4 separate regions of the Mus musculus genome follow, and regions 1, 3 and 4 are each reported to be linked to region 2. Evidence: microRNA targets listed by miRTarBase, many of them from high-throughput screens and not tested one by one. Region 2 holds a microRNA gene; each other region holds the end of a gene's coding sequence.

What was found. The annotated mature microRNA mmu-miR-130a-3p reads CAGUGCAAUGUUAAAAGGGCAU and lies in region 2 at 5,374-5,395, shown strand. An mRNA with a match to its seed (bases 2 to 7 or 8) in the 3' UTR can be bound and repressed. Matches are read on the target gene's strand: a 7mer-m8 pairs with bases 2 to 8, a 7mer-A1 pairs with bases 2 to 7 and ends in A, and an 8mer does both.
Region 1: the mRNA of Snx27 is a reported target of mmu-miR-130a-3p. Seed matches in the 3' UTR shown: 7mer-m8 at 6,310-6,316.
Region 3: miRTarBase lists Nfia as a target of mmu-miR-130a-3p. Seed matches in the 3' UTR shown: 7mer-A1 at 5,955-5,961.
Region 4: miRTarBase lists Atxn1 as a target of mmu-miR-130a-3p. The part of its 3' UTR that is shown has no 7-base or 8-base seed match.

The regions. Positions count from the first base shown.
Region 1 is chr3:94,494,569-94,501,514 of GRCm38, forward strand. Snx27 (sorting nexin family member 27) reads right to left here. Exons shown (of 12, transcript NM_001082484.2): 12 at 2,974-6,703. The coding sequence ends at 6,656. It also overlaps a transcript of Celf3 not described here. Among named protein-coding and RNA genes, the nearest start is that of Celf3, 20 kb to the left of the region's middle.
Region 2 is chr2:84,739,025-84,746,510 of GRCm38, reverse strand. Mir130a (microRNA 130a) reads left to right here and starts at 5,333; the gene lies at 5,333-5,396. It overlaps Gm19426 (a long non-coding RNA gene), which reads left to right and starts at 2,109. Exons shown (of 2, transcript XR_104776.5): 1 at 2,109-3,049; 2 at 3,811-4,346.
Region 3 is chr4:98,108,306-98,115,791 of GRCm38, forward strand. It overlaps Nfia (nuclear factor I/A), which reads left to right. Exons shown (of 11, transcript NM_010905.3): 11 at 2,913-7,486. The coding sequence ends at 2,930. Among named protein-coding and RNA genes, the nearest start is that of Gm34784, 14 kb to the right of the region's middle.
Region 4 is chr13:45,551,960-45,559,445 of GRCm38, forward strand. Atxn1 (ataxin 1) reads right to left here. Exons shown (of 8, transcript NM_009124.6): 8 at 1-5,626. The coding sequence ends at 5,096. Among named protein-coding and RNA genes, the nearest start is that of Gm34582, 30 kb to the left of the region's middle.

The DNA.
Region 1 (6,946 bases), not on the chromosome of region 2:
AACACTACCACATATACCCACTCACGGCCAAATCTGAATGACAACTGCCTTGTTCACTGCTAGTACTCTAAATAGGTACTCAACACTAGGAGCTAGTTAGTAAACAATGATGAAATGACCAGTGGGGCTGGAGAGATGGTTTATCAGTTAAAAGCGTTTACCATGCTTGCAGAGGACACAACTCTAACTCTAGTACCAGAGGATTCCAACTCATATATATGCACACACATAAAAAAAAAATCTCTAAAAAGAAATGACTCCTGGAGCAGAAGGTGGCTCAGCAGTTAAAAGCACTGGCTGCTTCAATTCCTACCACCACACAGCAGCTCAATACTGTAACTCCAGTTCCAGGGGCTCCACTGCACTAGGCATGCATGTGGTGCACATACCTGTGCAAGAAGGCAAAAATACCCCCACGTTTTTTTAAAAAGTGACTCCTAGCTATCTATACTGGATTTTCCACTGTGTGTAAATCTGAGTAGTCGAATACTAAAACATGTTCCCTCCAAAGTCTTGGGGCTTTTTGCTTTTCTTTTTTGGTTAAGATTTATTTATTTTTGATATTTCAAGACCAAGTTTCTCTGTGTAGCCCTGGCTGTCCTGGAACTAACTCTGCAGACCACCCTAACCTCAAACTTAAAGATACCACTATCTCTGCTCCCTACCTGTTGGGATTAAAGGCTTGTGCCACCATGGCCAGCTTTAAGATGTTTATGTGTGAGTGTCTACATGTATATTTGGGGGCTGCATATTTATTTGCCTGATGCCCAAAGAAACCAGCAAGGAGGTTGGATCCCCGGAGCTTGAGTTGGAGGTGCCTGTGAGCTGCTGTGTGGGTGGTGGGAACTGAACCTGGGTCCTCTGCAAGATCGGACAGAGCTCCTAACCAATAGGCATCTCTCTAGGATACTTTATTTGGTTTTCTTTGATTTTTGGCATTTCGAGACAGGGTTTTTCTGTGTAGCCCTGGTTGTCCTGGAACTCTGTAGATCAGGCTGGCTTGGACTCTACTTGCCTCTCTGCCTTCTAAGTACTGCCCTCTTCCACTTTATTTTTTGAAATAGAATCCCATGCAGCCCAGTCGGGCTTCAAACCTGCTACATAGTCACACATGATCTTGGATTCCTGGTTATCCTACAATTACATCCTGAATGCTGGCATTATAGCACATCCACCTGGCCTGGCTCAACTCCTAAAATAGTTTGATTCTCTAGTCACACAGAGCTTGGGAGCCCTTCACCCATTTCACGTAAATTCGGTGTCGTTAAATCACAAGATTCTGTTTCTATAATTTCTCCTTATGTCTATTTCTTCTTTCAGTTATTACTGTGTCTGCTTCTTAACATAATAATTATACCAGTCTCCTAATTCATTCCCTCTTCCACATGCTGGAAGGAGAATCAACTCCCACAAATTGTTCTTTAACCTACGTTTACTGTGACACACATATTCGAACACACACACTATAAAAACAAGGGACTGGGAGAATCCTTACCTCCTCCTGCATTCTTGAACATGCCCTATATTCCGCTGACACAGAACTATTCACTGTGCTCTGGACAAGTCTGGTTTTTTCTTACCCCACGCTTCTTCACTCTGCATGCTGCAGTGGTCTTGTACATAATGGCCAATACTGCTCGATACCTGCTTGATGAAATCTTGCTCGTGTTAAATCATTTACATTACATAGCACTTTAAGATTTCCCTTTATCATCTGTAAATCTTACGATTTATTATATTTAATGTATATGTGCGTGCAATACAACTCACATGTGTGCAGAGGATAACTTGTGTGAAATCAGTTTTCTCTTTCCACCATGTGGGGCCTAGGATTCTAACTCAGGTTGTCAGCCTTGGCAGCAAGCATCTTTACCTACTGGACCATCTTGCCCTTCCCCATGCTTTTGAGAACAGGGTCTTATGTGGCCCAGGCTGGCCCTGAACTTGCTATGTAGCTGAAGCCGGCCCTGAACTCCTAAACCTCCTGTGTCCTGTACTGGGGTTATACGCATATACCATCATACCTGGGTCTTTTATGATATCCCTAGAGCACTGAAACCTTGTGTTTCATGGGCCTGTCTCCCCTGTGAGGCTGTGAGCATTCCTGTATCTGCGATTTCACAGGCAGTGTCCCATAGATTTACTAATGCTGTTACTTCAGCCTCTATAATTCTACCCTTTTTATGGTTCTTTATTAAAGAGTTTTTTTTTAAACATATCTAGTGATCAGTATTTATTAGATTCCAAGTACTAGGTGAATGAGACTGTGAAAAATGTCTTGACCCAAATCCAAACAAAATGTGTCAAACTTGGTGGTCCTTGTTCTTAGGGTCAACTAAGGACCAAAGCATGTGGTAAAGGGCTATGAAAATACCAAGAAATGAAATGATGATTCACACAAAATGGAAATGTCTGACCCACTACAATGCTGGGCTTTTTGGAGAGCAGACTCTCTTCTGAGTAAGGAGGTGGCCTGGTACCTGGGTTCTCTGTGTAAGACCAAGGACAGCAAGGCCACTTTTATTCTCAGGCACATGATCAGAGGAAGATCACAACCCCCAGACTACATGGTATTGTTTAGGCACTCATTAGGGGAGATATAAAATATTTCCCTAGTTACTTATAAATGAGATACACATATTCTGGGGGTCAGGTGGGACATACCATGTCCCAAAAGCTCTGCCAGGTTTTGCCTGTGCTTGGCTGGTGAAGGAGTCTTGTGAATAGTCACAAGACTTTGCAAAGGAGAGCGCAACAACTGAGAAGTGAGGAAGCAGGTGGGATTTCCGAGGGAGCCATGGGGAAAGAGCAGCTCCTTCCTTCCTCCCCTGACTCTGTTTCCCCGGGTTAGCTGGGAAAAGCAGTTAGACGGCCCCTCTCATTTTCAGACTAGCTGCTCCAACTCAACTGTCAAAGGCCCCTCTTTACTTCTTCCCACATAACCCAAAGGATTTGTAGTCTAGGAAACCAAAGAATTGTTTCATCAATAAATCAATTTATTTAAAAGAATATGTTACAATTAATTACACTAAGTAACATTACCAAACAATCTTAGAGTGGTTAGCTCTAGAGCAGGGTTGGAGAAACACTGGAGCCAGTGGGTCTCTGCACTTTCTCTTCACATTTTGTAAATCACAAATAAAAGTACAAGATACTGCAGTGAAAATACAATTAGTTTCTCTCAAATAAATTATAAGTGTGCATGGCCTGGGAAAAACTGAAGCCCAGCTCAGCAGCTTACAAGGGGGCATAATAACAAGTTGGCACCCATGGTCAGCAGCTAACCAAGTGCTCCTACCAGGATCAGTCCCTCTGGTGTCGCTCCTCCCCAGAGCCCGATTTCCATGCACCCTCAGTTACTGCTGAGAAAGAAGCTGCTGCTATCCAGGGAAAGGAGCCCTGGCAGATATGCTGAGGGTTAGAGGAAGAAGAATCCAAGACGGAGGACTAAAGAAGCGTTCTCCCTCCCGCTGGCGCTAAGTATTCAGCCACACTGCTGCTCCTCCAAAAAGAAGTTAAAGCAACCCATCCAACTGGTGAAGGAGCAGCAGTGTGCTGAAGCCAGCAGAATGGAAAGGAGGGCAGAAAGGACCTCCATTCCTGGAGACTTCAGCTAAACGCAAATGCATGTAGGTCCCTTTAAGAAGACTGCTTTCTAGGAGCTGGCCCTTAAGCTGGAAACTCTGAGATGAGAGAGGTGCTCCCTCTTATCAGTGCCCTATTTTGCTGCTTCAGGCATCGGGTTTGGAGCAATGAAGGGATAATTCAAAGCTACTGGCCCAGGTAACTAAAGGATAAAATTAAATGGGCCAGGCAAGAGGATGCTAGAGCATTTACCTTGTTCCTCCCTGAGAGCTCTGTCAAGGCCTGGGAACTGCCCTGAACACTGACTGTAGCTGTGCTGAGCTGAGGCCTCCGCAAGGGCAAGGGGAAGGCGGAGAGACGAAGACCGGAATAAAAGTACAAAGAGCGGCAAGCTCAAAGCACTGCCCAAGCAAAGCTTCCTAGAGCACCTGGCTTCTCAGGGACTAAGTAGTTTCCTGCTCCGTAAAGATCTCTTGAGTTTTAGTATCAGAGAACAGAAACTCCTCGTGGAGGAAAGAACAGTTGGAGACCAGGAAGATTCTGCTGGAGTGAAGCTGGGAGGGGAAGTCCCTTCCCCAGAGACAAACTGCCCAAAAAACCTGTAGATGCCTTCCTGGGCAGAAGCCAGGTCTAAGAAACATAGAAGGGATTAGAGAAAGGAAGGGTAGGGGTTTGGGGGAGGGAGTAGTTACATCTAACACTGCTTCATGCAAAAGAACTTGATCCTGTGGGCCTCTGTGGGCCTCTAGGCCACCGTGACCTCCTCTTCCAGGACTGCAGCTCCACTGGGAGACCCTGGGAGCTGCTTCTTCCCAGCTCCCTGCTGCAGCTGGGTGTTCTGGTAGGAAGACTACCTAAAGCAGGGTGTTCCTACAGATTCTGTTAACCCCAACACAGTGGGGCTGACTCTTCAGGACTTCCAAAGCCCTGTCCCTATTCTGGAAGGCTCTCTTCCTGAGGGAATTAGCTGCAATGTTGCTCTTTTTACAGTTTGAACACAGCTGGCCTCCAGAGCATCTTGGAGAGGAAATCAACTCGCCCCCTCTTAAGGTACTCAGACTCATTAGTAAAGCCAAGAGGGAGAGTTGATCCTGATTAAAGCCTCCAAATCAGGTATTGCCCTTTTCAACTTTAAACACTACTATATTTTGTACTTTGTGGTCCCACGGGTTTGGACAGGGGAGGGAAAGACTATCCTAAAAGGTGTGTTTACACCTTCCTGCGACAAGTGGCTGCCAGAATAATGGAGACAGAAAAGTAGCCTCATAATGAATGCTCTGCAAAACCAAGGCATGAAAGAAACTTTAAACCAAATCCAACACTGCCAACTACATCCAATTCTGGCTGCCTTTCAGCTACATAAAGCCAAAGACGAAGCCTGTGGAGGCTTCAATATCGAAGGAAAAGTAGATAAAGAGTTTCAAAGACGTGTTTTAGTTGTACCTAACCTCAGAGTTCTTTACACTCAAGGTTTGAGACTATTACTCTAGTGCCAGCCTGGCCTCTGTCCCAAATGTTGCTTTTAGGTCCTAGGAGGTCTAAGTGCAGGGGCAGGTAAGGAACTCTTCTACTTTTGAGATATGTGATCCAGGATAGCCTTGAACTCATTAGTTAGCAGAGGTGGACTTGAAAATTCTGAGTTTCCTGCATTCCCCTCCCACGTGCTGAGATTACAGGTGTGTGCTACAATACCCCAACACCCAAATTTTATGTGGTGCTGGGGATGGAATTGAGGGCTTTATGCAGGCTAGGCAAACACTCCCGGCCCCAGCCTCAGCCTCGGGACCAGCCCCAGCTCCAGGTAAAGAACTCTTTAAGAGATTTCTCTTCAGTCTCCTTTGAAGTAAATGGTGGTGGTGAACTAAAATTGACCATACTCCCACTTCTTGGGCCCTCAGCTGTCATGAACAGGGCTCTGATTTGGTTGGCAGCAACCCAGACTCTAAGTTTACCCAAGACACTCCTTCCACGTACAGCTGTTTAAAGAACTCACAGAGGATGTAAAATAGATGGTTACTGGACAGGAATGGAAGAGGTAAGGCCCTTATAAATCTGAGGCACAGCTTCCATCCTCCCTTTCCTCCATCTGTCCAACCTCTGATGTCAGGGTTAGTCCTGATACAACCCCTGTTGCAGAAGAAAAAGTTTCCTACTATAACAGCTTCCTCAGATTACCCTGAACTGTTTTGGGTCAGTTAAAAGGGAGCATAATAAAAGACCCTAAAGAAACAGGAAGGAGATGGAGGACGGACTCAACGTCGATCGATGGACCATGGCTTGGAAAATGACTTGGAATCGAGACTCTAGGTCTTTAGACTCCCTGCAGCCTCAACTGCTCTTGAGAAACGGCCTTTCTCCTCCTCAGCACCCTCTTGAAGATAAAGACACTACACTCCTCGATCCTCAGACTCTATGGCAAACCAACAGCCAGAAACTGTACTCAATACAAAAAAGGGAAGAAAACCCAAGCAGGTTGTAAACTTTTCGAGTCCTTCATGAGGAGAGGTATTTTCCCTGTATTTTTTTTTCCTTTTTAAAGTTTGTTTCAAAATAAAGAGAGCAAGAGAGAGGTCATGAATTCTGTGAAAGGTGTGTAAAAACACAAGCTAAAAAAGGTACTGCCATCAATATGAAATTTAAAAAGAAATATATATATGTATATACGTGCAGCTAATTTGTGTATATATAATTTTTACATACATACATACATATATATGCTTGAACAGTGCAAATGGATGGAGTTCATAGTTCCAGTTTTAAAAATATAGTACAAGGAGAGTCTGTTGGTATGAGGCCCGGGTCAAACGACAAAGATGACTTTGGCGTGTTGGCTGGGCTTGTGTGTCTGATCTCAGTGGACTTCTGGTACTATCAACCTGCTCTCTACCAGCTCAGTTCCAGAGACGGGAAATTCTCAGGAAGTTATTAATAATATTTAGCTTAGGACTTTGGGACATAGTGACTTTTTTTTCCTTTTTTTCTTCTTTTGTGTTAATGGTTACTGTCTGACATGGGAGACGAAAAGGCTAAGAGGCTGAGGGCAAAGAGAAGATAAAGGGATGAGGAAAGGCTAGGTGGCCACATCCCTCTGCTGTGACCTCGCCATCTGGAAAATATTCTGAAAGGAAAAAAAAAAAAAAAAGAGTTACTGAGGAGCAGCAGGGCCTCCGATCTGGAGACAACCCTCCGACACGATGGGAGCAGCACACGCGCTGACAACCGGATTCAACAATCCCAAGCCAACACAGCCGCTCACATCACAGAGGACTCTGAATATTTACCACCTGGCTCAGTCTTTCTCTTTTACAAAAGAGATAATTCAGATCTAAAAAGGTGGTTGCTATGCCCAAAATCACAGACA
Region 2 (7,486 bases):
TTCAGCCCTCTTCTTTACTAGTGCCCATCTGAGCTGTATGTATAGTCTGAGCTTATATCTAAGTGAATACTGCATGTCCTGTATTCCCACTTCTTCACAAGTCCCAGTGGCTTGTATTTGTGAATAAGCCCAGAAATGAATGAATCCAATCATTCTTTCATTCCCTTGTGGTAGGAGATAGCAAGGTCTTTCACTAACATTGATTCAGGAAGCCCGGGCTGAGCTGTTTCCTTCCTTCCCTCCCTCTTCTTCCTCCCTATCCTTCTTTAATAGTCTTGCTAGGTAGCCCAGATTGGTCTCAAGTTTGGCAATTCATCTGTCTCAGCCTCTGAAGTCCTAGGATTGCAGCTATGCACTACCACACTCAGCTTCTGCCTGTTTTCTTGTAACGCTAGCTACCCTGGAACGCAAGGATTTCATATGCTGGTTAAAGGAATTTATTGGATCCTCCCGAAGCTGATCACCCTTAGATATCAGCCATGTGATAAGTTATTACACCAGCTCCCATATGGGCTTGGTTAAAAAACACATATTGAATAAACGTAATAATGTGTTTGAATACATAAAGATATGACTGGTTTATTGGTGCATATTAAATCATGAATAAATACTCATATTGCCTGTGCCCTTCTCCACCCCTAACAATATCTTACTTTTGGCTGTTGAAAAGAAGATTTGCATATGGTCTAGGCAGGCTTCAAGTAGCTAAGAATGACCTTAAATTCCTACCTTCAGGCTTTTGTCTCCTAAATGCTGAGGCTACAGGATTGTTGCAACCAAGCCCAGCAACATCTTGGTTTTTAGCCTTGTTAAAAAAAAAAAAAACAGTTTCTTCATGGTGGAAGGACAAAACCAATCTTAGTTGTCGTCTGACCTCCATGCATGTCCCCCACATACCTTGCATATTAAACAGCAACATTAAAAAAACAAACAAAGCCGGGCATGGTGGCTCACAGCCTTAATCCCAGCACTCAGGAGGCAGAGGCAGGCAGATTCTGAGTTTGAGACCAGCCTGGTCTACAAAGTGAGTTCCAGGACAGCCAGGGCTACACAGAGAAACCCTGTCTCAAAAAAACAAAAAACAAACAAACTAGCATCTATACAGAATGATGTCTGGACAAGAATGTTGAATTTCCTTTCCCATGTAATGATGCCCCTGGTGATGTCTGATGTGGGTCTGAAAAACTACACAGCTTTTGATAAAATAAAGGGATTGCTTTACTAAAGGATGAGGGGACAAGGTGTGTTGACACATGTTAGGTGGTAATCACACCATTCGGGGGAGGCTTAGTGAAGAGGCCTGACTGTTGTAAATTTGGGGTGGATTTGTACTACCTAGCAAGATCTTGTCTCAAGAACCCCCCCCAAACAACACATCCAAAAATATTCTGTTTTCACCAGGGTAATATATGCAATAATGTAATATGTATACATATTACATATATATATATATATATATGTATACATATTACATATATATATATACAGCATATTACATATATATATATACAGCAAAGTAGCCATTGTATGAAAAGGGCCAGTCTTGGTTTTATAGCAAATCCAAGGTTGTGACACCCTGTCTCAAAACAAAACAACACAAAATAAAAAGCACACAAACAACAAAAAGTCATAAACTCAATATACAATTAACATATACTGATAAAATTTAAAGTGATATTAAACTAAATTTGAAAGGCAGTTCCTCTGCTCTAGCCAGATTTCAAGTGCTTAATCGCTTTATGTATCTGGTAGCTACCATCTTAGATGACACACATATAGAACCATTTCCTTTTGTACCCAGAAAATTCCACATGGCAGCTCTGTTTTGGCTCACTCTTTTGCAGTTGAGAAGACTGAGGCCTATGGAAGGATCATGACTGATGCATGCCTGTTACAGGCAGATATAGATACAAGCTATTCTATTTCCTGATATATCGCCCCCATTTTCGCCTTCCTCCTGAGACTCTAGGATCCTCCAGCTCCAAGACCAAGATCCAAGGTGCAAGAAAGTCAGTTTGGACTAGGTAGGGGTGCTGATGATGGGGGTGGGGGCAAGGCTGGTTTAGAGGGATGTTTGTGACTGAACAGGGCTTCAGATGCGCCGCATTCCTGATCGGGTCAGGCTTGCCCTGCGGCACTAGGGATTAGCTCTTCTGAACAGCCCCACCTCTTCTTTCTGGAGTTGCCAGTTTCCTGCCCAACCCAGGGGCCGCATGTATTCAGGAGGCGCCCGAACTGCTTTGGGTGAGGCTAAAACGCTGAGAAAATTCCGGCTAGAGAAGTACTTCTGGTCAGAGGGAGAGTTGAATATAGGCAGGAAATTGACCAGATACATTTTCAGAGATCTCCAAGTCCAGCACCCGGGGCATCTGGGAACAGGGCTTCTGCCAGCCCAGCCGCAAGTTACATTTGGCGGGAATTGCATTTGCCTTCACCTGGGGTTGTGTGTGTGTGTGTGTGTGTGTGTGTGTGTGTGTGTGTGTGTAGGGGGGGAGGGCGATGGAAAAAAGCTGGAAGAGGGGCATCCTAAAATGGGGTAGGAGTAGGGAACAGGAGGCGAGAGGCCAGGGGAGGGGGCGCCGGGGAGCGCCCTGACCTCGAGGGCTGTCGAGAGGCGGAGAGGATGGGGGTTGGGGGAGAAGAGGGGAGCCTGGCAGCCAATGGGAGGGAGGATCTCGTTTCAAAAGGGTTAACACACAGCCAATGAGAGCCTGGGGGAGCGGATCCTGCTCACTCCATTCAAGAATCCCAAGTATTCAAGATGGACGGCAGGGAGTGTGGAAGGAGAAAGGGGGCGCGGGGGGAAGAGCCAGATCTGTAGAGGAGAGGAGCGCCGCAGCCAGCTTATCCTGGAGCCTCGGTCCTGGCCGGCGGGTAGAGGGGCGGCCGGCGAGGACTCGAGCCTGGCGGGGGAAGAGAGGCTAGCGGGATACGAGAGGGCGTGAGAAGGGGAGCGAGGCCAGAAAAGAGAGCCAAAAGGGAGGGAAAAGCAGAGAAAGAGCCCGGGAAGAAGGAGGTGGCGGGCAGAGGAACCTAAGAAGAGCGATGTGTAGGTATTGGGAGCTCGGCGCTTTTCGGTTTTCTTCTCTCGACGAGGGGAGGGGGTGCTCTGGCCTTTTTCTCTCCTCTGCCCTCCCCCCCTCACTCGTAGGCATCTTTTATATTTTTCCTTTTGAAACACTAACTGGGGAGCACCAGGCATGTCTTTCGGAGGTGGCCTCACTGTCAATTTCCAATGGGGGGGCGTGGTGGGAATGGGTGGGGGGTTCTGAGCCTGAGCCATCTGCCTGTCCCTGGGCTTGGGAGGGTGTGGGGACGCAGGGGACTTGGAGGGTGTGTTCCAAGAGCCGCTAGAGCATTGCAGGGAATTGGTCACGTTCAGAACTTGTAAGGTGAGCCCCACTTGCTTGTAGGGGTGTGAGGCTGGCTTTAGCTAGTAGCGGTGGGGTGCGAGGACGCGGGGAGCCGTGCCTCCACCCTCCAGTTGGGGTGAGTGTCGACTGTGGGGTGAGTTGTGCAGCAAGTATGGCAGAGAGTTTGTGCGTGTGCGTGCGAGCGCGTGTGGTCCAGCCTCGAGGTGTGGCGGGGGGCACAGTTGGGTGTCGAGGGAAAGTGCCCCTCACCCCACACTTCCCAGCTGCCCCTCTTATCCCATTCACAGAACAGGGCTTTCAGGACCCTCCTGCTCTCCTCCTCCCGTCGCCATGGTTGCGGGAGGAGGGGGGATTGCAAGAGGAGACAGTTGGAGCCAGTCCCTTGCCCCTGCTGCTCCAGCTAACCCCCCACCTGCCCTTTCTCTCCTTTCCACAGGCTGGGCCCCATTCCTGCTGCTCTGGCGGGCTGGGGCCGGAAGATGGTGGCCAATGAGGAGGGGGAGTGGAGAGAACTTGAGCCAGGCCCTCCCCTCCCCCATTTCCTCCTCTGTTTCTACACCCGCTTCTGGAAGGAGCTGGGGGATGGCTCCTAGGCCCAAGGTGGGGGAGGGGTCCTGCTGGCTGTTGAATTGCTGGTCTCCCCTCAGGAATGAGTTAGGCACGTGAGCTCCAAGGGACTCGGTGTCTCAGCTGCGTATCCCTTCGCTCCCTAAGGAAAGATCTGGGAACTCCTTGATGAAGAATCTTCTTTGGCTACCGTGAAGCTTACTGGGTAGTCTTGTCTTTGTCCCTCTGCCCCATGTTGGTCTGGTCCTGTTCCCAACTGGCTTGCCCAACTCCAGGAGCAGAGAGGCCTGGCGACTGACCCAAGCTGGGCCTTGGTTTCTGTCCATTAGAACTGTGCAAACTGTGGGGCAGGGCCCAGTGTTTGCTGATTACAAGAATAAACTGCCTGGGAAGGCGGGAAAGACACTCTCCTGCTTCCTGAGAGGGTGGGAGGAGGCTGGAGGGGGAAGCACAGAGGAAGAGCTCCCAAATGAAATTCAGGCCTCCATTTTTCCTGCTTGTTGCAATGGGGGTGGGGGGTGGTCTCCCTGAGGCTACTCCATGGTCTGAATGGATCTCCACAGGGAGGAGCCTTGCAGTCTCTGTCCCTTAGGTTAGAGCTGTAACTGGCTTCTGACCAGTATGCTTAGCTGCTGTGTGACTCTAGAGGCCTGCATGGCTCTGAGCCTTGGGTTTCAAGTGCACCTGGCTTTGGAATTTTATCAGTCTCTATTGTCCTCAATGAAATTAAGGGGGATGGCCTGGGGTCATGGAAATGAGTGTGAAGACTCCACTACTAAACCCTTGGGATAGACAGGAACCGGTGGCTTCTAAGCCCAGTGTCAATGAGAGCTTATCCTTAACTCAAGAGCCAAATCACTGGCCATTTCGCTTAATACCATATCCATAGAGTACTTTGAAGACATCAGAAAGGAAACAGTGGGGTTTCAGTTGCTTGCACCTCCAGATCTGGGAGCTTCTTTCTCCTGCCTAAGCACCTGTAGTTAGGTTCCATTATTCTAGACCTGGAGGTCACCTGAGATCATCACCTTGAGACCTCCAAGGTTTCTTTCTTTCTTTTTTTTTTTTTCTTTTCAAAAATTAAGAAGTTAGCATTAGTCTGGAGATGAGTGAAAGGCTCTGCCTGAAAGGTTGCAGGCAGAGAGCAACCTCCCCTACTACCACCACCACCACAACACAACCAGTTATTTCCTTTGAGAAGTGTCAAATGATGGGACTCCCACAGGCGGTCTCACTTGGCTCTGCACCACCACCCCTCAAGAAAAAGGTGATCTTTGCTGGGAAGGAAATGAGGACGAGGGACGAGAGGAAGGCCGTGACGTGAGCTGAGTGTGGCCAGGGACTGGGAGAAAGGGTGAGGAGGCGGGCCGGCATGCCTTTGCTGCTGGCCGGAGCTCTTTTCACATTGTGCTACTGTCTAACGTGTACCGAGCAGTGCAATGTTAAAAGGGCATCGGCCTTGTAGTACTACCCAGTGCCGGCAGCCTCCTCAGCATCACTGCATTTTCTCCCACCTGAGCACCAGTCAGCTACTCTGCTGGCAATTTGGATATATGGAGCCCTCCCTTAGATGAGGAAGCTAAGGCTGTAGAGCTCCTAAGTTAACTGCTCTATCCTGAGCCCAACAGGAAGGCACCCATTTTTGTAGACCTGTCCAGAGAGATTTGAACTGAGGGGGTGAATGGTTTTGATGCCACCTGCTGGTTATGTGAGGATATCATCTGAAGTCTTCAGCTTTTAAGAATAAACTCCGCCGCCACACCCCCCACACCCCTGCCCCGCCAAGGGGCAGCTCCTTAAATGAAGGTCTGAGTTTTCAGGTGAAGCTTGGGATGGGCAGATGGTGAAGTATGGGAGAAAATTTGTGAGGCCCACAGAAGGCCTCTGGGGATAGGGTGCACTGAAAAGGAAAGGGGCTAACAAGAAAGGACAGATGCCTAGGCAAAGGGGCTTCGGTGTCCCTCCTGTCCTCTACGGCTCTTCCTTGCATCTTCCATGTAGGAAGGAGGTCTCCTCTTCACTCAGTTTTCAGCATGACACTCTCCTGACCACTCACTTGCTTGTGATGGTTCTTGAAGGCCTGGTCACCCAGGATTCGGTCAGCACTAGTTAGAATCTTAAGTGGTGCCCAGAGTCTTCTCGTGCTCCACAACCACACCATTGACTTTTCTGTCTTTCACAGGGCTCTCCTTGAGCAGATTTTAAAGCTTGCTCTGATGCAGCAAGTGGGGCCAAAGGATGGAATTGGGTACCTACTAGAATTTAAGGAAAGAAGACACTGTGGGTCAGACACTCCTATGGTCCCAGCACTCAGGCTTCTGGCTTGTTGGCCCTTCTGTGTCTGCTGGTTCTTTGTCCTTTCTACAGTCTCTCGATTCTGATGCTAACAGCACAGGTGGCTCTAGGCTGGAGAGATGGCTCAGCGGTTAAAAGCACAGCTATGCTCTTGCAGAGGTCCTGAGTTCAATTCCCAGCAACCACAGGGTGGTTCACAACTATCTATAAAGGGATCGGATGCCCTCTTCTGGTGTGTCTGAAGACAGTGACAGTGTAGTCACACTACAGATAGCTCTAAATCCATTACTTCAGTCTAAGTAATCTGAGCCTCCCTGGGTAGAGTGGTGCACACCTTTAATCCCGGTACTGAAGAGGGAGGTAAAACTGAGTTCAAGATTCGCATGATCTTTATAGGAAGTTTCAGGCAAGCCAGAGCTAAGTAGTGAAACTATGGCAACCCTCCCTCCCTTGCACAGCATGAGAAAGTACTGAGCTTGATCCCAAACACAAGGGATCCACGGGCCAGATGCGGCAGAACACGCCTATAATCTCAGAAATAATAAGTAATTAGAAACTGGAGGTAGGATTAGAAAGTCATACCGCAAGTTAGAAGGCCAGCCTAGGCTACATAAGACTATTTCAGAATAACAGTAGTTTGCCCATGCTTTCCCAGTGTCCTTGAGATGCAGTCCCAATCCTCTGAGGTTTACAGCTCTTCCCCTTTCTCCCATTTTAATCTCATGTCTCATCCTCTTGCACTTCTGTTCCAGCCTCAAAAAAAAAAAAAGTTTCCTCAAATGAGCCCAGCTTGTGCCACACCACACAGTTCTGTCTGAAATTCTCTCTCATCTTGTCCTTTTTCTGCCCATCTTTCCAACATGGTCTCTCTTCTGGGAAGCCATCCCTGACACCTCAGGTCTAGGGAGCTAGTCTGGACTAGAGCCCATATTATCTTCTGTTGGGATTAATTAGGTTCTTTCTGGCCACTAGATTCAGAGTTCCAAAAAGTCTGCCCATGGCTGGCTTGCTCTCCACGCATCCCCAGAGTTCAGAACAACGCCTGGCAATTAATACACACCTACAATGTAACAAATGGCTTTTTACCATAAATATAGTCTTGCTCTATAGGGGCTGGGCCTCTCCAATTTCACATCAGTGCACTCCAGCCATGTTCCTCACATCACACTTTTCTGTTGATGCTATACTTTAGATCAACTGCCAGCAGCATCCCGCCCCATAGATTTTCATTTTAGCCTCAAGGGTATCCA
Region 3 (7,486 bases), not on the chromosome of region 2:
TAACTCTGAGAGCGTGTGGTTAGCATTTAAATTTAAACATGTCGTGAGTTGATTTGTGTTACTGAATACCAACTCAGAAGGAGTAACATTCACAGTGCGGTTTTTTTTTCTTTCTTTCTTTCTTTTTTTTTTTTTTTTCTAACTCCCTTAAGCAGCTAAAGTATTTCATGAAATGTCAAAAGGGCAGAAAGAAAAAGGGGAGGGGCCAATGCGGGGCCTCATCGTTTTCTTTCCCAGGCAAATATTCACCCCCCAAAAGAAAAGTGTGGAGAGCGAAACACAATAATTAGTCCTTTGTCTAACTTTCTCAAATGCCAAAGAAAGACAGATTAATTAAATATACAACAGTGTTGGTTTTTGGAGCGGGGGTCTAGCTTGCTGGGTAGGTCATAAATTAGGCAGAATAAATACTTCAGTGTGTTTGCAGTGGGCCTGCTACGTCAGAGCCACTGGAAGGTTGGTGGGAGGAGAGTGGCGGGTTTCTTGCTAATGATAGTCACGTCTGGGTCTGTCTGGTTGCTAAGAGCAACCAGACATGATGTAACACCAGGATGAACTTGAACTTGGGGGACTTGAAAAGAGAACAATAGCCCAGAGCAATCAATAAAGCCTATTTCAGTGAAGGGTTACAGAGCTGCTCTGGGGTAACCTTGTGGGCGAGGCACACACTGAATAGTAAGATGTGTGAAGAAACTTTTTTTTTCTTTGCTTTGCTTTGCTTTGCTTTGCTTTGCTTTGCTTTGCTTTGCTTTGCTTTGCTTTGCTTTGCTTTGCTTTGCTTTGCTTTGCTTTGCTTTGCTTTGCTTTGCTTTGCTTTGCTTTGCTTTTTAGCAGAAGTATGTACAGGGCACTGCTGATTTTTGTAATGTCCTGAATGCAGAAACTACGGGACGGAAAACTGCTCCCCCTGGTGACTCGCCAGGTCCCAGGCCTTTGCTTCAGGACTGCCACACTGAAGAAGTCCAGAATTTCACAACTGCCTTAGAAAGCATGCAAACAGATTGGGAACAGCACTTACCACTCAGTTTGAGACTGTTCTGTATAAGAGCAGATATGGAAAGTGGATCTGCGTCAGAGATCAGGAGAAACTTAACGCAGACACGGTTTGCGGTCTGCTTCCCTCCCCTTTCCTTCTTACTGATCTTTCTTTTGTCCACTTAGATTTAGGCCATGCATACTTGCCAGGGTGATTTCTTTTCCAGATATAAGCAGCTTTATTGGGTTCTCCGAAGCGCATGGTCAGAGAGTAAAAGTCTACAGGATGAGTAGTTTTGTGGTTTGAGCTAGGAGTTTTTGTTTTGTTTTGTTTTGTTATAAGCGCCTTTGGAAATCAAAGGTACCTTGTGTGACCAGGAAATTTTACACCATGCCTCCATGGAGCTATCACTTAGCTATTTATCCCTGGGATCAAAGGAGTCCCGACTTTCCCCTAATTGAATCTCCCCGACAAGAGTGAGCTTTAGCCCTCACCTCCGGAATCAGTTCCGACTGACTCAAACCCTGGTGATGTTTTCAATGCAGAACTCACAGCCTCGAAGCTGGTAGGTTTTCTGATGAAAATACTGAATTCTTCAGAATACTTAGAAGAAAGTTGGCAAAAAAAAAAAAAAAAAGTCATACAATTTTTAGCCTCACTTGAGTTTTGAGATTGGTCTATAGTTGCTCATTTTGTTAAGCGAACTCTCTGTGTTGACAAAGAATGTTTCTGAAAGGGACATAAGACTGGCTCCACAGCTGGCAGAAAGCTCCAAGGGCACATTGAGTAGACAGAAACATGAACGAGAACTACAGTGGTTTCATTTCCCCATGAACACAATGGTGCTTCATAAGGTGCCATCTTATTTTATTATGTATCTTTTCTAAGAAAAGAATTTTAAATATATGCCATTGAAAGGATTTGCACCTGGCCGGGCAGTGGTGGCGAATGCCTTTAATCCCAGCACTTGGGAGGCAGAGGCAGGTGGATTTCTGAGTTCAAGGCCAGCCTTGTCTATGAAGTGAGTTCCAGGACAGCCAGGTCTATACAGAGAAACCCTGTCTCGGAAAGAAAAAAAGAGAGAAAGAGAGAAAGAGAGAAAGAGAGAGAGAGAGAGAGAGAGAGAGAAAGAGAAAGAAAGAGGAGGGGAGGGGAGGAGAGGGGAGGGGAGGGGAGAGGAGGGGAGAGGAGGGGAGAAGAGGGGAGAGGAGGGGAGGGGAGGGGAGAGGAGGGGAGGGAAGAAAGGATTTGCACCCATCATGAGGAGCAAGGGGAGAGGCCAGTCTGACTTCCCACCCCCCACCCCCTCCCAGGTCACCAGTGAGTTTTCCACCAGACCTTTCTGTTTTAACTGCTATCATGGGCCACCTACAGAATGTTGTGTTTGTACATTTAGCACCTGTCCTTAGCACCTACACCTCACTGAGAAATATATTGAGAAAGTCATGGAAATAGCTATTTGCTGCAGCCCCAAGCTCACACTTCAGCCACTCCATCGAATTTGCTTGTCTTTCTTGAGCCCTCCCAGGCATTAAGCTAGGTACTAATAAGATAGCCAGGTTCCTTGCCCTCTTCTAATTGGCTCACTACAGGGTTACAAAACCTGCCATGTGACCAGAAAGACGGCACCTGGTAAGATATATGCAAAGCATTGGCAAAGCCCACAAAGGCAATGAATTTTAATGTCAGAGGAATAAGATAAATTTCAGTGGCTTGGGATTTACTGTCATCCCTCGACCACATGAACTCCCAAGGTAAATTCTGATCCCATGGTTAAAAGAGCAACTTTCAAAATAGTTTTACAATATTGAATGCTTTTTGTTTTTGTGCACTGGATCACTGTGGGCCTTGCTCATACTAGCCAAGAGCTACCCACGAGCCACTACACCCAGCACTACACCTGCATTTTAATTAGACTTTTCTTTTTGTCTTCCAGTCCTGGTACCTGGGATAAAAGTTGCAGCATCCCACCATCCTCCAGACAGACCACCTGACCCCTTCTCAACTCTGTAACATGGACGCAACCTCAACCCGGCGCAGTTACAACTTCACTGTCAGTGGAAGGGGAGCGAAACCAACTCGAATCAACTTATACATGGAAACAGCAAACATCGTGGTCAAACAGCAAAGGCCATAACTTTTTGGGATTCTTTTTTTTTTCTTTTTTTCTTTTTTTCTTTTTTTTTTTCTTTTTTAATACTTTAGGGACTGTCGTAATTTCTCATGGTGCTGGAAATGGTTGGGCTGTGTGACATTTGAAGTGTTTCAGTGGTGGCGTGAGCAGTAGGTGAAGTGGTTGGTGAAGGATGAGCCTCGCTCGTGAACTTCCTGTGGTAACACTTGGGAGCCTGGCCTTTTCCCAGTATTTCCTGAATTTGCCCGTGCAGGTGTGTGACCCTCCCTGAGCATCTGGAGACACCTGGAGCATGAAACCTTCTGTAATCGCTGAGATCTGTAACTTACAGGACACTCAAAGGGCAATGGTTTTTTTTGGGGGGGGGGTTGTTTTTTTGGTTTTTTTTTTTCTGTAACATATTAGGGAAAAAATGCAGTTAAGTTGATCTTTCTTTTAATTTGGTTTGGTTCAGCAGTCAGCAGTTACATACATAACACAACCCGCAAGGACAGTGAATCCGCTCCTGTTGCAGAGCAATTTCCAAAAAGACGGCAAAGACTACTACTATCAGTTTGGTTGGGTTTTTGTTTTTTTGTTTTTTTTTTTTTTGTTTTTTTTTGTTTTTTTTGTTCTTAAGTTTTGAAATGCTGCACTTACATTTAAAAAAAAACATTTTTCAACAATTTCAACAATGACACAAAAATTCACATGGAAATGGGGAAGATGGTCTGTTTTGACAGAAACTGACAGGAATCAAAACAATCGAATTTTGAATTGAGTGAAGTGCAATTTCATTGGATAGCTAAGTATCTTTGTAAGATAGAGATTGTTGAAAATTCTATTTTTGTTTTTCAAGTCCTCCCACCCCAGGACTCTAAATTATTGGGGTAAAAAACAGCCTTGCAAGAAAAAGGGGAGCTATTTTTGCTTTTTATGTTTTTTATTGTTAAACTTGTATCCCTTTAAAAAAAAACCGAAGGAAAATTTAAAAAAACAAAAAAAATACAAAAAAAAAATACAAATCTAATGGTGCTTTTACCACAATATGTTAACTACATTAAATGCTAATTAATTATTTTCTGTTATCAAAGCACATAACTCAAATGAAATCATGGTATCTGTTAATTTTATAAGCTAGAAATCACTATAATGAATTATGCCAATTCTGAAAAATTTTACACATGTATGGCAACACCTGATCTATCGGTTATCCAACGCTTCATTGTACCAGACATTGTCCAGAAGTTTCAAAGACCCTTTGCAAACCCTGAACTGGGCTACGGGAAAATAACACGAATACTGATAAGGACACAACTATGTGTGCCCATTCAGATCAAAGTACTTGTTAGGGAAAAAAAAAAAGTTCACACCCTCCCCGCCCCCCCCCCCCAGATGTCTTGTATCTTATGTTTAAGGGAAAAAAAAGACAAAAAAAAAAAGACAAAAAAAATCAAAAAAGGAAAAAAAAGCAGAAACAAATAAACAAACAAACAAAAAAAATGCAAGTGATTTTTCTACCAGACAGCGAAGCACCCTTGCTTCCCATGCAATGTCACGGTTTCCTATACTATACATATATATGTGTTCTGGTCGGCAAAGCCTGCCGACCAGAGGAAGTCTCTCTGCATGTTCTAGTGTTAGTAACTAATTTTTATATAGCTAATGTAGGATAAAGTAGAGTGCATTAAGACAATATTGTAACCCCACTCTAGGCACTTGCCTTTAAACTGTCTCAGCCCTTCAGAAGGGCTCAACTACTGTCCTATACAATCAAGTGACTGAAATTCCTGGGAAGACACTTTGCTCCTCACCTAACCCCACCCCCATCCCTAAACGATGTTGTTTTGTTTTTATTTTTTTCCTTAATTTGCACGAAAACAGAAATTCCATATCAATGTGCCTTGCCCTGGATAGTGATTATTTGTGGAATTGTTGCACATGCTCCTCAATTGAAGGGGTTTTTTCCCTACTCAAGCATTCGGAGACACTTTCTGTAAATGTTAACCTTTATGTCAGCCATCGTCAGTTTCAACATCTAGACCTAAATAGAAAGTTAGCTGTTCCGCAGACAGGCGTAGTCTTGAGTGTCCTGTGTGGTCAGTGGCAGTGCTATTCTGAGCTCTGTAGATGCTTACAATGTCAGTATTTGGGATGTCGCTGCATTTTTTTTTTCAATTTATTTGGAGTCTCCCTTTATTCCTGCCCCCGCCCCCAGATATATGAAAATATGCAATACCTGCTTATATCATGTAGAAAAGCTTAGCAAGTATTAATTTTTCTTTCTTTCTTTTTTTTTTTTTTTTTTTTTTTTTTTTTGTTTGACCAAAGTCAGTGCTGCACATGACGCAGTGGGTTTTAGGTGTCTCTCTTTGTGTTTTCTGTGGTTTGTGATGCACGTGCGCAGGAAGGGCTCCTCTTAGAGAAGCAGCCAAACTGTGAAGCACTAAGCTGACCCTGCTTCAAGCAATTTTGTTTTTACAACTGTTCCTTTCACAAGCAAGCCTTAAAAAAAGAGAAAAAGAAAAAAAAAAGACAACTTCCTTTCTCTTCAGACCCCCACACCCACTTTTCTTAGCAGACGGCAGTCAATCCACATTCAATAAAAAGTACATAATGCCCATTTTTATATGCACGTTTTTAAACTTCCAAGTTCTGAAAATTGTTTACTGGTTATCTCTATTTAAGGAAAAAAAATAAAATAAAACATTTTGGATTTTCATATGTGTCTGATAAGTGGTTGTATAGTCGTTTGGCGCTGTTGTATGGTGTGATTGTCAGTGTATGGTGTCACTTCCTATAGCCAGCAGCAGACTTTGCCTTCCCTATAGCACTTAGCTGAGCATTACTTTATGATGACATATGTGCACTAAAAAAAAAAAAAAAAAAAAAAAAAAAAAAAAAAAAAAGGAGAAAGAAAAAAAAAGAAAGAAAAAATAGCAGCTTTCAGTGCTTCACAGTGAAGGGAAAAAAGCCTAGACAAACATTTTGTCAGAACCTTGCGAAATGCCAAGGTATTACCAGTAAATTGGTTGTATATACAATAAAATTGCACCCTTTTTTTAAACAAAACAAACTAAGCAATAGTTTGGGCAGTTCTAGTTGTTTTTAGTGAGCATGTTGTAGTCTCGACTGCAAAGAGAGAGAATAAACTGCCCACTCAGAAGATATGTAATTTGTATCGTTGTATAGTTTTATTGATTACACTGATTTATTCTACCCTATTTTATAATGCAGGACTTTTGTAATGTTGTCTAAATGAGGAAACATTTCTGTCAAATTAGCCTAGTGAAATCTCTGATTGTTCATTACAAAGGCAGCGTTCACAGCATTGCTTCTTCTTCTTCCTTCTCCACCTCCTTGTGGGAACGGGATTAAGTTTAAAACTTTCCCGTTTCTTTTTTGTTCGGTTGGTTTGGGTTTTTTTTTTTCTTTTTCTACTTTTAAAGTATTTAAATGCAATTATTTTTCTGCCAATGGTATAGCCTATGCCTATGCTTGAGAAGTGTAGGTCTACTGAAGAACCATTACAAATGGACGTCAGAGGTGTGCTGTACTTTTGAAGGTATTTTATTGTATTAGGTTTAATGAAGCTAAAAGTAGGGAACTCTCAACAGATTTGCAGGAGGAAAAAAAATGTTTTTAAAGGCTCTCAACCACTGTGGAGGCAGCATAGGGTGACAGCAACCAAGGATTAAGTAGTCAGTACACCAAGTTCTGGTCTGCTCATGCTTCATTGTCCAGAAAGCAGCAGGAAATTGTAGTTCCGTTGTCATCAAGCAGGAAGCAAATGCAACACCGACCAAGGCAGTTTAGGTCAAGAGCTGAGCCAAGGTGCTTGAGGAAGGCTTTGCTACAGGAGTGTAGAGACAGACAGCCCCAAGAGCTGTCAGCATTGGAAGCCAGACTTGATTCTGAGACATGTTGAATTGCTTTTTCCTCTCCCATCAAATGGCATTAACACAATTGGTAAAGATGGTCCCTCAAATGACTCCCCCCCCCCCATTTTTGTCTTTGGGAACTGAAGTCAGAGGCACCAAGTCTAACTCTCAGCATTTTTCCAATAAATGTTCTCCCTTGGCCCCTCTCCTGGCCACCACAAAGCTCCTTTTCTAAACTGTCCTGGGCAGAAGTCTTCTCTGGTGCCCTTCTCCCATCCTCCAGCCCTTCACTTCCCACTGAGGTTGTCTCTTTACTGCCTGGCATGACATCTAAAAGCTCACTGCCTATGCAGGGCTCACTCCCCACCATCCGGATGGCCTCCCACAGGCCCTCCAGCCTCAATCCTCCGTGCTTCCTTTTTTCCTTTCCCAACAGTCCAAGAGCGCAGGATCCAACTTTCTAGTCACGCTGTTCTGTATTCAGTCAGCCCACAAGAATATGCAAACTCCATCTCA
Region 4 (7,486 bases), not on the chromosome of region 2:
GGTCATCTATGAAAGAAATCCCAGCTCCAGAGTAGAGGTGTGCAAACTGTTTCGAGTTGCCTTAGGAACAGAAATACAACACTGTTCATGGACAGGGAGAAAACCAACCCAACTCAACAGGTCATACGCATGTGCTTTATTAAAAGAAAAGTAAATTCTCTATAGTTATTACTCGATTTTTCCTTAAATTTTCTATTTCGGAAATCCTGGCATCAAAACACAACTGTGGATGCAAAGGCCTTTGCTCCACTTTTAAAACAACAAAATATGATTCTCTTGCCGTTCATCTCAACCACTAAAGAAACTGGATAGGACCCGGAGACTGGAGGCCCTGTATTCCCCTGGAGTCAAAGGGGGTGACTGGGAAATGAGGAGCGAAGGGCTCTCGAGAGAGAGAGCAGACCAGTTGGTTGAGGGTCTTGTGGCTCAGGAAACAGTTGCCATGCCAACTCAACTTACAAAGTCTGGCTTTCTATCCCAAGAGCTCTGCCTCCTCACCCGTGTCTGAAATAGGTGTTAGTGTCTTCAAAAGCATCTACAAAATAGGTTTCCTTAGTAGTCACAGATGTTACAAGGTATTATCAATTGTTTCCTTAAAAGAAAAAAGAGAGAGAGAGAGAAAGAAAGAAATGAAAAGATACAAAGCTAGAACAAAAACAGATTTTGGCAACATATTTCAGTAAAGATCAAACTATGTGCAAAGAGTGGATATATTTTTTTTCTTCTGATTATGAGGAGCTACTGCTCGTCTTGAACGTGCAGCATTATATTGCAATCTGTGCAGTAGCTAAGGAGCAATCCACACTGTGCGGGGAGATCCAAACATTCCTTGAAATTGTACAACCCTACTCCAGAGCAGTCCAAAGTGCTGTTGCTGAACACATCTGTGTTCCACACACACACACCAGCCCCATCCCTGAGTAAGAGGTGTGGAAGGTTCTGCAGGGTTCCTTGCAAGGGAGAAAGGACGCTGCCACTTCCTTATGGGGTAAGGGGGTGGGGAGGAACCCAACAAGCTCACCTAACAGAAAACATACAAGGTTGGGGTTCAGAGTTAAGGACGTTCTGTTGCCACCACCACAAACATCAGGCCATCCCAAACTGAGTTGGATGAATCGAGAAAAGCAAAATGTGACCAACATAGACGATTATCCTGCAAGTCCCCCCTCCCCACCCTCCCCCAAATGCAATTTGGATTTCCACTTTTAAAAAGATTTGAGGTAAGTGGTATCCCTGGCCTTCCCCCACCCCAGTCCCTACCCCATCCCACTGACCCCCAAGGTGGCCCAGACAAACTGAAATAATTCTAAAGTTAAACAGTCTAAGGAACAGTCACGTTGTTGTGTATTTAGAAATCCCTAGAAAGAGGTTCTTGTTTGCTGATTTCTTATGAGTAATATTACTATGTTTTCTTTTTGCCCTGACTAATTTCTTGGTGATTGTGTTCCGTTGTAAACACAAAAAAGGCCTGCTGTTACTTTGTTTTAAAATGGAAAGCAGGAAAGAGAAGAAGGAAAAGTCGGCTGTTGGTAAATATTGCAAAGAGGACAGGTACAGAGGCGCGTGGCTGATCCTTGTCCGATGAGGGCACTGCTATTACCGTGCTCCCTACACAGTTGACCAAAGGTGCTCCGGGAGCCTGGAGGACCCCACCAATGTCTGCAAATAAGAGGTGGCTCCTGCCTCTGTGTGTTCTTCCTGTTTGAAGAGAAAGCTGTCCCAAGGGAATGGTGACTGTGGTTGCCAGGTTGCCCTCCAAAGCCACTGGTGGGCATGCTCAGAACACACACATATGCAATAAGTTGCTTGTGTCAAAGGCAGGGATCAAAGTCTCAAGGACACAGAAGAGACTGAAAATGAGTTGACTGAAGACCATTCCGCTCCAGAGTTCGTCCTAGGAGCCACTCCGCCTCCTGGCTCCATTCCAGCTTCACTACAGAGCGAGGGGCCTTTGCAGAGTGTGGTGACGGACCTTCAAAGTGCTTCCCTCAGGTCTCCTTGGCTGGCTCTCACTGTGTCCTGGTGACAGACACACACAGGCTCCCATAGGCTGCCTACCCTAGCACTCTGCATCCATCGGTGTTAAGGAGAAATGGAAGGGGCTCGCCTCTCCTGGCTCACTCCTCCAGCCTTTCTCTGGCCAGCGAGGGGAAGAAAGGTCAGCCCACCGAACAAGGAAAAGGCCAAAAGGGAATGAACTTTAACTAGATAGCACACTATTGGCACACAAAGTATTGCACATGCTAAGGGAGCCAGAGAATGAGATGGGACGGATGCTTCGGAAGAATCAATGATTTGTATAATTCCTATACCTGAAATAGAACCACAAGTTATGATATTCCTATTGCTCTGAGCCATGTGTGTTTTTACCTGTTTTAGTGTCAGCTTAGTGGATGCAGTCAGTTCACTCCTCGGAGTTAGCCAGAGAGCAGAGTGTGTGTTTGTGTGTGTGTGTGTGTGTGTGTGTGTGTGTTTTCTGAGCTCACAGGGGCTGTTGTAGATAACTGGCACACAGCGCCTCCGTGGCAACCTCCTAGTCCTCTCACCATTGGAGGTTAAAACAAAACAAAACAAAACAAAACCGAAAACCTAGTAAGTGCCAGTGCCCTGAGCAGATATAGGGAAGATCAAGCAAGGTCTCTGAACAGAAAGATTAAAAAAAATAAAATAAAACAAAAGGATCACAGCACTAAATAAGCGTCTGATTGCAAGAACGGGCTCACCCAGCTCTGCCAGCGGGCGGAGAGGGCGATGAAGTTTAGGGAGAGGCCAGCTATTCCGGACCTACTCAAAGGTGTTTGGTACATCCCAGAAAATGGTCTGGAAAAAGATCATTAGTCCCAACAAAAGCCACTGTGAATGGAGACTGGATAGCCAACATGTATGTGGGTTGCCAGGGGAGGGTCTTTTTGGTTTTTTTTTTTTTCTATTTTGAGAAATGGAAGAAATCTTTTCTTTTTAAATTGCTAAAAAGAAACGTCAAATAAGTACTTACTTAGGTTGTAGCCAAGAAAGAATGTTTAAAAACTTCTCCCCATTTATAAAACTAGGGTTAAAGTACTTTAAGACCCACTCAGAACCCACAAATGATATTTTGACCTCTGGGAATGAAAACTTGTGACTTTATGAAAATACCATTTCTGGAGTTTTGTACCAAACATTAGATCCTAGTTGGATTTCAAATAGAAACATAAGTTTCTTTTAAAAAAAAATTTAACACTTTTTTTTCCAGAAATGAAAATACTTGCTCACATATATAAAATGTCTATATGGGAAACTCTCAATGGCGCTGAAGAAGACCCTCAGACCTGGCTTCTGGTGACAGATGTGGTAGATGACAAAATGAAGTCTCAAAGGGGACAGAACCTTCTAAGAAGGGCCTAGGGTCTAGGCAGGTTAGAAAGTAATTTTGCTACATTTATTTATGCTCTTGTAACCCTCCCAAACCTTTCCCACAATGTTATTAGATAAAAACTGCAGGAATATCACACAAATTATAAACTCAAGATGTGCAAATCGCAAAGTTCTTTAGAAGTTCGTCCTAAAAACACTGGACACAACCGAGTGTCTTTTCCTCTGTGTCTTGTCTCGGTTTCTCTGCCAACTCTGCATATGCCTTTAACTCTTTCTCCAACATCAAAGTGACAAGTGCCTGCCGTCAGGTAGTACTCGGTAGTCATATATTGTCACGGGCTAGTTCGTACTTCACATTCATCCTTTTAAACCAGATTGGAGTTTTCGATTGCTGGCTTGTGAGCAGAGCTGAAGTGTAGTTACAGTGTTGAGAAGAAAAAACAAAAACAAAAACAAAAGCAACTTAGGTTTGTCATTTTTTTTTTCCTTTTCTTTTCCCAAAAAGAGTCGAAAGTGAGATACAGTACTTGTTGAATGACAGACCAAGATGCTTGGTTAAGAAGCCTGCACAGCATTTTTAGCTGTTTGCGAGATAAAGTAACAGAGGAGCATCTTCCAGATCTAACTCCTCATGTCACACTGGGATTGAGGAAAAAAGAAAGAAAGAAAAAAAAAAAGCGGCACCCGAGTTGTCCATAGTCATGAACAGTACTAGACCTAAAATACAGAAAAGATGCTGCCGGCACAGCTGGGAGAAGCTGGCTCTCGCGGGAAGCGGGGCTTGCATTTTCCTTCTTGGAAGCCAACGCAAGTAACCTGATTGCTTTTCCTAACACTGCACAGAAACCAGTGTGGGTGCTCCCTCCGTCCCTCCCGCCCCACTGCTACCTGCCTGACCAGGAGTGACCTGAGCAAGGACTTTCCCTGCCCACCATGACGACTGATGATGTCACTGGACTGGACCGGGTAAAGCAGAAATGAAATCCTGCAAGTGGCAGCTGCTCTTAAAAAAAAAAAAAAAAAAAAAAAAAAAAAGAACAAAAACAAAAACCCAACAAAACAAAATAAAACAAAAAAACCTCAGTGCAGTCAGGCCCCATGGGGGGAAATATATATATATATCTATATATCTATGATTAAAAGTTGCTTTTTATTGTAAAATATGTTGGAGAGAACCACGTTCTTTGAAACTAGTTTCCCATCTGCCTGTCTGATGTCTCCCTACAATGCCTGGAAGCTGGGTTCCCTGATGACTTTGCAGGTGGGAAACCCAGGTCCCCCAACCCCACACTGAGAGGGAGCAAGTGAGGGAGACAGAGGCAGAGAAAGAGACACCCTCACTCGCACTCCTTCACAAGGGACACGCACCCAGACACTCCCTTGCAGGATACTTCCCACTGTGTTTGTTCTTGAAACCAGTGGGAACTGATGCCCCTCGACTCTGCACACTGCCGGAGAAGGCAGGGGCTGATGAAGCCACATTCAGGGCCACTAAGGATGCCCGGGAGCTCCATGGACATGGTTCTGACCATCCTCCACCCACCAGCTCCTCAACAGACCCTTGCAGACAATGCAAACGCACCAGTCTCCTGCGACACACCTGTTTGACTCTAATGACAAGGTTAGAATACAAACCTAAAGAGGATGTAACATGTAAATACTGTGTTACTTAGCCTACAGTACAGTAATCTGGATACAGACAGTAAAAGGAGGCCCCGGGCCTCCGCTGCCCGCAAGGTCTCTACTTGCCCACGTTAGATCGGCCTTCGATGCAGATCTTAACCTCCTGAGGAATGAGCGAAGGCTTGGGAAGAGTCAAAGGTGGCTCGTCCTCCGACTTCTCCAGTTTACGGGTCTCCGGCGCCGACCACCTCCTCTTCCTCGTGGCTGTGGGTTTGCTCGGTTCTATTTTGCTGAGGAAGGGTGCTGCAGGCAATCCTATTTTTTCTGGAAACTTCAGTTCGCCATTCTCAGAGAGCACCTGGGCGCTTCCCTGGTTGATTCCGTTTTCCTGCTCCGCGTATCTGTGTCTGCTGCCAGCCAGGCTGTCGGTCTTTGCCTGCTTCAGCAGGACGCTGGCAGGGTCCACAGGCTGGCCCTTTTTAACAGAGCCATTCTTCAGGTTCTTGAGGGTGAGCGAGATGCAGACGTCCCCAACAGAGAGTTTGGAACACGGCAGATCAAAGAGCTGGCTGGTCCGCTCAGGACAGCAGGATGACCAGCCCTGTCCAAATACAAAAAAAGGATACTCTACCAAGACTTCGACACTGACCTGTGGAAACAGAAGTAGAGGGAGGAAAAGGGAAGGAAACATGAGAAAACAGTTCATACGTGGTGTTCACATGTGCACGTACATGTGTATGTGTGCACAGAAAACCGTGTATGTACAGAGGCTGGAGCTCAACCTTGGGTGTGAGTTCTTCAAGGATAACCCACTAAAAACACGTGGTTCTTACTCTCTTTATGTGCACAGGTGTGGGGCCATCCATTGGAACACGGGAAACTTAATAGTGGTCATACCCCTACTACCAATGACCTGAAGGTCAAAGTGTTGAGAATAAGGACTGAGTTCTCAGCCCTAAGCAGGATATCTGTATTAAACCCCCTCCTGAAGGCTCAGGAAGCCTCATGGGAGAGATGGGGGTGGGGTGGGGGGTGTCGGGGGACATAAGAGCCAGAGGCTGGGAGAAGCACTGAGAAATGCTAGCTTCTTGACAGAATACTGTAATTGCAGCCACCCCCGACACACCTGGGAGTGGAGGATGTGTCTAATGGCCTGGAGATCATCTGGTGGTCAGCAAGCTTTGCAGATTCTATCTCTGCCTCCCCAGTGGGTGCAGAGGTTACAAGTACATGCCTCCACACTCTGCCGTGTGTGTGTGTGTGTGTGTGTGTGTGTGTGTGTGTGTGTGTGAGAGAGAGAGAGAGAGAGAGAGAGAGAGAGAGAGAGAGAGAGAGAGAAGGTTTCTCTGTATAGCCCTTGCTGTCCTGGAACTCACTTTGTAGACCAGGCTGGCCTGGAACTCAGAAATCTGCCTGCCTCTACCTCCCAAGTGCTGGGATTAAAGACATGCGCCACCACTGCTTGGCTTATACTCCTTAAACATGGGTCTGGGGATCAAACTCAAGTCCTTCTGTTTTCGTGGAAAGAACTTTACCAACTGAGCTATCTCCTTAGGCCCCCTTGAGTGTTTTATTCAACACAGACACTCATAGGCTAGATAAGAAGAAAAAAACCTGAGAGTTTGTTTACCAGCCTCTCGCCTTACAGAGATACTCTGTGTGCTAACTGCAGCCACAGCTGCACTGGCCATACACAGACCCTGGGCAGAAGCTACTGAGACAAATATAAATTCCTTACATCGTTCAAAGCATTCTACCAAATACCAGGTTTGTAGGGGGTCTGGTAAAACCATCTACTGGTTGCCCAGCAACCACAAAGTGCCCACTTGTGAGGCACTGTGGGTGACTCCAAAGGCCAGCTATAGTCATGCTAAATATTGGTCAGACTGAGATGTTAGGTAAACTCTGTGAAGAACAGTATGTGCCTGTTTGCCACTGAATTCCTATCACCTAAAGGGGGGATGAATATAATCCTTAGAACCAATGAACTTTATGTGTTCAATGAATTTAAGGGGGGCATCATCTATAAAGGCTGGGACCAGTAGGGAGGTCTTTCTTAGAAGACGGGCCTGAAGGATGGGGCAGTGTTGGAGGGCTTTTGCGAGTAGACACTACAGGGACAGATATGGTCCAGCCGCCAGGTTGTTTTGAGAGCTAAAGTCTCATGCTTCACCCCTGAGCTCATCTCACTACACAGGCTTCTTGAATTACTAAGCTTCCTTTCTTTGCTGGATCCATAGACCATGGAAAGATGTTTTAGAAAGAAAAAAAAAATCACAGCACATGTCATTTGGAGGGAAATCTCATGGCTCTGGGCTATGAGCAGTTAACGTAGAGACTCATTGAACTTGTTCACATGCTGTGAAGAAGTATCTATGGAGTGCTTGCCCTTAAATAGGACATCTATATCAATCCCTGCCAAAGCTGTGGGACCATCCCAGAAGAGGGTGGGTGGAGAGACTAGGAGCTGGGAGGGGGGAAGGAGTGCTGTGTATCGCTATCTTTGGGA